Linked DNA regions of Xenopus tropicalis. The protein of the gene in region 1 binds, or shares a complex with, the protein of each later gene. Links are inferred from orthologs where the notes say so. Each region holds a gene or a part of one and is shown in the gene's direction. Other genes may lie near its edges. The genes, in order: klb and fgf19.

What was found.
Region 2: the proteins of klb (region 1) and fgf19 are in contact, whole or in part, in a crystal structure (PDB 6NFJ), measured with the Homo sapiens proteins. The link is inferred for Xenopus tropicalis from reciprocal best matches to the Homo sapiens genes KLB and FGF19. Residues at the interface, in NP_783864.1 of Homo sapiens: Phe379, Lys380, Val392, Leu394, Trp419, Phe420, Thr421, Asp422, Val425, Thr431, Tyr434, Met435, Asn438, Tyr643, Glu693, Arg696, His743, Asn824, Phe826, Met832, Gln848, Phe849, Leu850, Gln851, Ile853, Leu862, Phe931, Phe942; in NP_005108.1 of Homo sapiens: Leu192, Thr194, Asp195, Ser196, Met197, Pro199, Phe200, Leu202, Val203, Thr204, Ser211, Pro212, Ser213.

The regions. Positions count from the first base shown.
Region 1 is NC_030677.2:36,115,155-36,119,658, forward strand, and holds the start of klb (beta-klotho), read left to right. Parts: upstream 1-1,401; 5' UTR 1,402-1,543; coding exon 1,544-2,275; intron 2,276-4,504.
Region 2 is NC_030680.2:12,860,188-12,864,716, forward strand, and holds the start of fgf19 (fibroblast growth factor 19 precursor), read left to right. Parts: upstream 1-1,613; coding exon 1,614-1,848; intron 1,849-3,113; coding exon 3,114-3,217; intron 3,218-4,529. UniProt on the Homo sapiens protein: Involved in the suppression of bile acid biosynthesis through down-regulation of CYP7A1 expression, following positive regulation of the JNK and ERK1/2 cascades. Stimulates glucose uptake in adipocytes. Activity requires the presence of KLB and FGFR4.

The DNA.
Region 1 (4,504 bases):
ATGTACAGGGAATGTGCTGCCCTCTGTAATTATACAGAGGGATAAATCTTAAAATAGGGAACCTTCCCCACATGGTAAGTGATAAATCAAGTACGTATCAGAGCCCATCCCTCAAGATATAATTAAGCTTTGACACGTCACTGCAAAGGTGCATTTTTTTTATTTGAATGGCCGCTGCTTCTCCTGCCCATATCTGGCATACTCCCAGTCATGAAAGCACTCATAGTAACACTGGCTAAAGGTGGCCAAACACTATAAGATCGCTGCTTTGGCGTCTTAAGAGTGAAATTCCCAGATGTAATATATCATGTTTTTATATGCAGCATTTCTTCCTCCGATTACAGTGTTTTGGAGCAGCAGTTGGATTTGTGTTCGGTGCAATTGCATCCCATTGCGCTAGTTTTTTATTACAAATCGGAGGCAAGATGGTGTCATTACTGGCAGTTGGCATGAAAATTACATTTGCCTGTTATTTTTTCAGCACAGGCGTGCTGCACATACTAACGTAGCTTGCAGAGGGGACCTTGGCATTGCCAACACCTTCAGGGTGGCAGTAGCTCTTGGATTCCCCTGTGTCAATAGGCACACTTGCACACAATTCAGCCAAACAGACATTTGCAAGCAGAATTGCACGTTACATAGTTACATAGTTACGCTGGGTTGAAAATAGACCAAAGTCCATAAAGTTCAACCCTTCCAAGCGCACCCTAGTGCACATATACACACACACACTCTTACCAATATTTCTATACACTCGCATATATACACTGTCTATATCAATATCTGTACTAATTGTCTAGATAAGGTTCATGTTTGGTGTTGATACATGCAATATTTCCATATAAATTGTGGTTGAGGTTGTACTGTAAATAAGACTTTTGTTTGTCTGTATATGTATGGTTGCATATACTGTATATGTGTGTGTGTTGATGCACTTTTAGCATATTTATTTTTTACCATTATTTTGTGGTTTGAAAATAATGGTAAGAAATAAACATGCCAAGTTGTGTGTTCAGGCCAAAGGGAATTCATTCAGTCAGCTGCAAGCTGGTGTAGAGCTGAAAGATAAAATGTAATTACCTGAAAGCAAGACATATCTGTTGGAAATGATCCTCCCATATATACACAGACATATGTTCCAGCTACCCCCCATACACAAATGAATGATGTATCCCTATAGGCACATTACATGGTGTGTTATGACAGCAGCACTGCTATGCCAGGAATGGCACTGACGTTATTAGGCAGCAGTGCCCACAGAGAGGACAGGTAACATATAGTGGAGGAGAGCAGCTGAGCCTTCCAATAGTGAGAGCAAGGACACATCTCCACCCCCTCCTCTCAGCGACCCCTCCTGGGCTCACAGTTCAAGCTAATCATTGACAGCATTTTTACAATTCAGTTCTATAGAGGAGCTGAGATAAGGACAGTGCAGCAGGCAGGGCAGAAGGCAGCTGACAAGGGTCAGGGAGAGACTTGCCTTGAATGAAACTCTCGCCTACATGAAAGGAACCCTCTGACCAGGAGACCCAGAGAGGGCACAATGGGGCACTTGTGGCTGGTGGGGTTCTTGGTGCCTTTAGGGTTACTAGGGGAAGTGATTGGCAGCCCAGGGGAAGGCAGGAGTGTGTGGGGAAGGAGCCATTCACTGAACCCCACAAACCAGAGTCAGCTCTTCACATATGGCACTTTCCCTTCAGACTTTATCTGGGGTGTGGGGAGCTCATCCCTGCAGATGGAAGAGGATCACTCCAGCAGGGGAGCATCTATTTGGGACACATCACTAAAAGACCACCAGTCTGGGCTGGCCAACAGCAAGAATGAGCAGCCCACTGGCAGCACCCCCAAACTGGCACACACTCTTCTACCCGCCTTGGAGTTTCTTGGGGTGAATTTTTACCATTTCTCTTTTTCCTGGCCCAGACTGTTTCCAGAGGGGAGTGGGGCCCCCAGTGATCATGGGGTGCAATATTACAACAACATGATAAACCTGCTGATCAGTAAGAATGTGATGCCAGTGATCACTCTGTACCACTGGGACTTACCAGCCGCCATCCAGGAGAAATACGGAGGGTGGGCCAACGACTCTGTCACCCAGCTGTTTAATGACTATGCCAGGTTTTGCTTCCAGAGGTTTGGGGATAGGGTGAAATACTGGATCACAATGCACAACCCCTACCTGATAGCCTGGCATGGCTATGGCACAGGGCTACACGCACCTTGGAAAAAGTGGGACACGGCGAGAGTTTCTCTGGTTGCGCACAATCTCATCAAGGTAAGCGCTCAGCCTGTGCCCCTGCCTTTACCTAATCGCTCGGAAACGCTCCGGGGGCGCCGACCCTCTGTCCTGTACTGTGCGCCGCCTGGGAGGGAAGCGAATACTGAAGGGCAGGGGGTTGTGGTGGCGGCGTGTGTATGTAGGTGAGTATATATTATGTTTGTAGGTGTGGATGGAGTTTTTCAGGGCAGCTACAATAGGAATAGTGTATAAGGTATTGGGTACGTAGGGTGTTTGTGGGGTATCTGTAATACGGAACTTGTGGCCAGGGCGGGGGTGGGTAAGGCAGTTGTGGCTGTTCCTATGACAGGTGTGTGCGGGTCTGCTCCGGGCAGGTTATAGTTAAAGTTACTGGCATGGCACATGTTTGGGGGTGTACTGGGGGCTGGCATGGTTATTGCTTTACTTGGGTGTTTACCTGCTGTTTGTCGGGCTTTCTGTGGTAGGGATGGTGTTGGTTGGGTTACCCTGAGTAGGCACAGTGTTGGTTGGGTTACCCTGAGTAGGCACAGTGTTGGTTGGGTTACCCTGAGTAGGCACAGTGTTGGTTGGGTTACCCTGAGTAGGCACAGTGTTGGTTGGGTTACCCTGAGTAGGCACAGTGTTGGTTGGGTTACCCTGAGTAGGCACAGTGTTGGTTGGGTTACCCTGAGTAGGCACAGTGTTTGTTGGGTTACCCTGAGTAGGCACAGTGTTTGTTGGGTTACCCTGAGTAGGCACAGTGTTGGTTGGGTTACCCTGAGTAGGCGCAGTGTTGGTTGGGTTACCCTGAGTAGGCACAGTGTTTGTTGGGTTACCCTGAGTAGGCACAGTGTTTGTTGGGTTACCCTGAGTAGGCACAGTGTTTGTTGGGTTACCCTGAGTAGGCACAGTGTTTGTTGGGTTACCCTGAGTAGGCACAGTAGAAATCCGCTGTCCATGCTGTTATAAATACACGTTTTTAATTTTTCAAAATGAAAAAAAGATAGATATATATATATAGCACCACATAAATGGCGTTGTCTGTATGTCTGTCAGTCTAGGTTCTATAAATTACAAGTAAATTTTGCAGTTTTTATTGGAAAGTTTTCTTTCCCAGTATTAGCGTTGCATATATTTTTTGGGTTCTATAGGGTGATGTATGCAATGTTACATAACTGAGATATAAACTTTATTTATTTTTTTTTAAATATACATTATTCTGTCATTTTATTTACTTATGTTCTTTTGATGTCTCGTGGCAATGGGAAAAAAGTGAAATTATTCCTGCAGGGATATTTTTCCGTAAACCTTTGATAAGCACCGCCAGTAGCCTTGACCTGTGATTGCTGTATCTCGTATTTCTACTGTTTATCTCTGTCTCTGGATCTGGCCACTATCTGAGCCATAGTAACTGACAGGGAGCCTGTATGAAGCCAGTCATTTAGGGAACATTTCAAATGCCCCAGCGGAGCTTACAATCTAAGGTCCCTATTCACACACAGTAAGGTCACTTTTATCAGGTACCTATTAACCTGCCTGTATGTTCTTGGAATGTGAGAGGAAACCCACACAGACACAGGGAGAATGTAGAAATGTCTGCAGATCCCGCCTTGTCTGGAATCGAATTCTAATATTTTTTTGCCTCCATGCTGTGCATCAAAACTTATTCTAAATTGGTTACTATTGGTTACTGCACTGGTGCAATATAGCACTTATGTTAGTAAATCATCCCCAGTGACAGCATCTGCAGAATGCTAGGGATTAAAGGTGGCCAGACACGCTACAATTACATCTTTCCCACGGCCATTGGTCATAGTATCATTGGTCAACCCTACTAATTCTGGTTCTGTATGAATAAGGATAATAATAATTAGGGGTGCACTGAACCAAGAATTTTTGGAGTTGTCCAAATACTGATTACTTGTACAAAATATTTGCATTTAAAAAATTGCATCAATTGTGTATAAAAAAATCTTTAATCAGCTGCCGACATCTTTAAAGTAACACAACTTTAGGGTTCGGATTCAGTTTGGCTGAGCACTTAGGATTCATCTGGTTCATGCAAGGATGGCCAAACGGTGGATTTGATGCATCCCTGCTTAGCACTTAAAGGGGAACTCCACCCAAACACAACTTGAAAGAAAACTATATCCCCAAACAATGTAGGCCTCTATAAAAATATATTGCACAGAACAGCAAAAAAAAAAAAACCTGAAGCAGTAAAGCCCTGCTTCATCTAAATAAAGCATTTTCATAAAAATATAC
Region 2 (4,529 bases), on another chromosome or scaffold:
TAATGAAGTCTACTCTTTTTACATTTAAATGTAAAAGGGTAAAAAAGGTTGGTCTGTGGCACCTTACAGCAGCCCCTCTGGCATTTCCCTGAACCCACAGATTGTCAGTATGGGCAAACAGACAAAAATACACATATAAATGCTACTTTGATTCAGGAAATAAAGAGGCTAATTAAGTAGGCGCTACATTGGGGACATTTCCACTGAGATCAATGTACGGCATTACACAAATACCCGGTGTGTGGGACACAGCAGGTCAAGCACCCAGGAAGGGTCAAGCACTAGTCCTGTGGGACACAGTTTCCCTGCAGTCAACACACACACAAACAGGATACGTGTTACACAACTAAGCCTCACAAAGGTCAATATACAGGGACACTAGCGGCACTTGAACATGTGTCAGGGCAAATGAATGCTGAATGAAGCCATAAACTAGATCTGCCCGCCTGTTATACCCACCTAATGTGGGCGAAATCGTTCTAAGCTGGTCATTTGGATCTAGGGGCCATAACAATCGGAGCAAGAGCCATATCAAGCCTGTCCGAACTGGACGATTTTCAGCCCGGGAAGCCCGTCGGAGGGCCCCACACACAGGCAGATAAGCTGAAGGAGCCAAATTGGCAGCTTAAATCTGCATGAGTATGGGCACCTTTACAGTTCTATACAATTTTGTCACGTGCTGCCATTTTGTCGCATTATAGTCTGCATACCCAGTTCACAATTAAAAGGTTAAATTTCATTTTTGTGAATAGTGTATGGCGTATATTGGTGTAGCATCCAATCAGAGACCACGGTGGAGTAAAAGGCTACACGTTTCATTCACTGCTGTATTTTCCAAGTAACTGTGGACTTTAACATTTCTTAGTTTAAACTGCAGGTCAGGTTTGAATTCTGCCAAAAATTGTAGTGCAACACCCCCTCCCACCCCAGCATGATGGGAATTGTAGTCCCACACCCGCAGGCTGCTAATCCAAAAAGGTGGATCAGACCTAAAGGGCTTTCCTTTCAGCGAGACAAAGAAAAGTCTCTGACACAGAAGGGTCTACGTACTAATAGCCTCCCATTAAAGGAGGACCCATAGGCAGGGGTATGTGCCATTGTTAACAAATGTCTCACTTACTCTGCTTGGCAATAAAAGGACAACTATCCCTCCCCCAGTACAAGGTATACACAGATATATCCGTTTTTTTAAAAAATTTTGAACATTTTTCCAAATCCGGATCCGATTTAAAAGACAAAGATACAATTACACATAAAATATCTCAGTTATACAAACATTTTCCTTAATAACAGGGGTAACAAATAGGAATAATGAAACAGCTAAAAACCCGAGTATGTAACCTGTGAGGGTGATGTAATGATGATAGGAAGGGGAGGTCTGTGCTTACTATGAAAGGTCTACTTATTGAAAATAGTATGACCTTATCTATGGAGCTGATAAGAGTCCTATAAAAGGCTGGGGATTGGCTTGTATTTACTACAGCCCCGAGGCAATTAGGTTAAAAAAAAAAAAAAAAAGCATTGCCTGACAGTCTGTCTCAAGCAACTTTAGTGTTACTGACTCTTTGTGTGTGTGTGTGAGCTCTCAAATTGCCATTTCCAACCCTGGGAAGATGTGGAAGACCCTGCCTTGGATTTTGGTTCCCATGATGGTGGCCGTGCTGTATTTCCTCGGAGGGGCGGAAAGTCTGCCGCTTTTTGATGCCGGGCCGCACATGCAGAACGGCTGGGGGGAGTCGATCAGAATTCGGCACCTGTATACGGCCAGGAGGTTCGGGCACGACAGCTACTACCTCCGGATACACGAGGATGGCAGAGTCGATGGTGACAGGCAACAAAGCATGCACAGTAAGTGTAACGTAGAGCAAAACTATCTATGAATAAATCACATCAATTGTTTCTGAATCAAATGAACTATTATTGTTATTAATAATTATTTATATAGCACAGTGATGGGACCTGTTATCTAGAATCCTTGCGAACTGGGGCTTCTTTCTGTAATCTGTAATCTGTAATCTCCATACCTTAAATCTGCTAAAAAAAAAAAATCATTTAACCATGAAATAAACCCAATAGGGCTGTTCTGCCCCCAATAAGGGGTAATTATATCTTAGTTGGGATCAAGTACAGGTACTGTTTTATTATTACAGAGAAAAGGGAATCATTTAACCATTAAATAAACCCAATAGGGCTGTTCTGCCCCCAATAAGGGGTAATTATATCTTAGTTGGGATCAAGTACAGGTACTGTTTTATTGTTACAGAGAAAAGGGAATCATTTAACCATTAAATAAACCCAATAGGGCTGTTCTGCCCCCAATAAGGGGTAATTATATCTTAGTTGGGATCAAGTACAGGTACTGTTTTATTATTACAGAGAAAAGGGAATCATTTAACCATTAAATAAACCCAATAGGGCTGTTCTGCCCCCAATAAGGGGTAATTATATCTTAGTTGGGATCAAGTACAGGTACTGTTTTATTATTACAGAGAAAAGGGAATCATTTAACCATTAAATAAACCCAATAGGGCTGTTCTGCCCCCAATAAGGGGTAATTATATCTTAGTTGGGATCAAGTACAGGTACTGTTTTATTATTACAGAGAAAAGGGAATCATTTAACCATTAAATAAACCCAATAGGGCTGTTCTGCCCCCAATAAGGGGTAATTATATCTTAGTTGGGATCAAGTACAGGTACTGTTTTATTATTACAGAGAAAAGGGAATCATTTAAACATGAAATAAACCCAATAGGATTGTTCTGCCTCCAATAAGGATTAATAATATCTTAGTACAGGGACTGTATTATTATTATAGTGAAAAAGGAAATCATTTTTAAAAATTAGAATTATTTGGTTATAATGAAGTCTATGGGAGGTGACCTTCCCATAATTTGGAGCTTTCTAGATAACGGGTTTCCAGATAACGGACCTAACATATTCCATAGTGCTTTACCAAGATTCTTGACCCAGTGAATGTTAAACTATATTGCCCCTATCACATACATACAAAGACTAAGGTCAATTTAATCAGGAAACATATAAACCGTTTGCAGATGATAGAATTAAATCTAGGATCTTCCATCTGAATCATTTTTGTTTTTATATGTGCAGGTTTATTGGAAATCAGAGCAATTGCAGTTGGAATTGTTGCCATTAAAGGGTATCGCAGCTCTCTGTACCTGTGCATGGGGTCCGAGGGAAAACTCTATGGAATGGTAAGTGAGCTCTGAAGCTTCTAATAATAAAGATATGCAAGGGTGGAAGCTTATAAGTAGAACAAATCATATAGGAATAAAGGATACAAACAGCCATGATAACTGTATGCAGAACAGATCATGTGGCTTCCAAAATGTCTTTTAGCAGCATTAAGGTAAGACACATGGAGCTACTTAGTAGCAGCTACTTGTCGGGGCTACTAAACTCCAGAAAATACCATAGACATTACTGAGAATTGCCTCTGCTAAAACACACATAGGGACAATTATCAGTAAATGATCAGCATTGTCTGTTTTAGTAGCCACTACTAGTAACTGCTACTAGTAGCTCCATGTGTCTTCACCCTTATACATAGAAATGGCACTGTATTTATCCTGCCGTGTGTTCTGGGATGTATGTATGTATGTATAAAGAAGCTGTTGGTTTTTTTTTTAAAACAAAGGTCCTTTGCTCTAAAGTTACTGCTCACTATAAACAAGCATATTAGTTTTATACTGATGTACTGAAGTTGTATGATGCACATTCTGTATGCCGCAGAAGCAGTACAACATACCATATTACTTACCTTTGCATGGAATTGGCCAAGAATATCTAGATAACGTCACCTTCCTACTGAAAAGAGAGGAAAAAAGTGTCATTTTTCGTACATTTTCATTGCATCAGCACTCCTTTAACAGTGCTCTCATTTGACCGCTTCTTTACCTTTCAACTTTATACCCGGCTTATTTTTGGCTCAGTCAGAACAGGTGAATGAACTATAGCTCAATAAAACTGAGGAACAGATTATGTCTGGAGCACACTGCCACTGTGTAAAGTCTTCTATGCAAAGGCATTTTCCAGGGTTTCTTATACTGAGCACCTTGCAGGATACATGAAGTGGCAATTTCATACATAATACCCTAGCGTACATGCAATGCAAATTCCATACATTGTCCCTTGAACACCTCAGAATAAATACAGTGCCAATTCCATGTATAATACCCCAGAACCCACAGCAGGATAAATACAATGCCAATTCCATGTATAATACCCCAGAACCCACAGCAGGATAAATACAGTGCCAATTCCATGTATAATACCCCAGAACCCACAGCAGGATAAATACAGTGCCAATTCCATGTATAATACCCCAGAACCCACAGCAGGATAAATACAGTGCCAATTCCATGTATAATACCCCAGAACCCACAGCAGGATAAATACAGTGCCAATTCCATGTATAATACCCCAGAACCCACGGCAGGATAAATACAGTGTCAATTCCATGTATAATACCCCAGAACCCACAGCAGGATAAATACAGTGCCAATT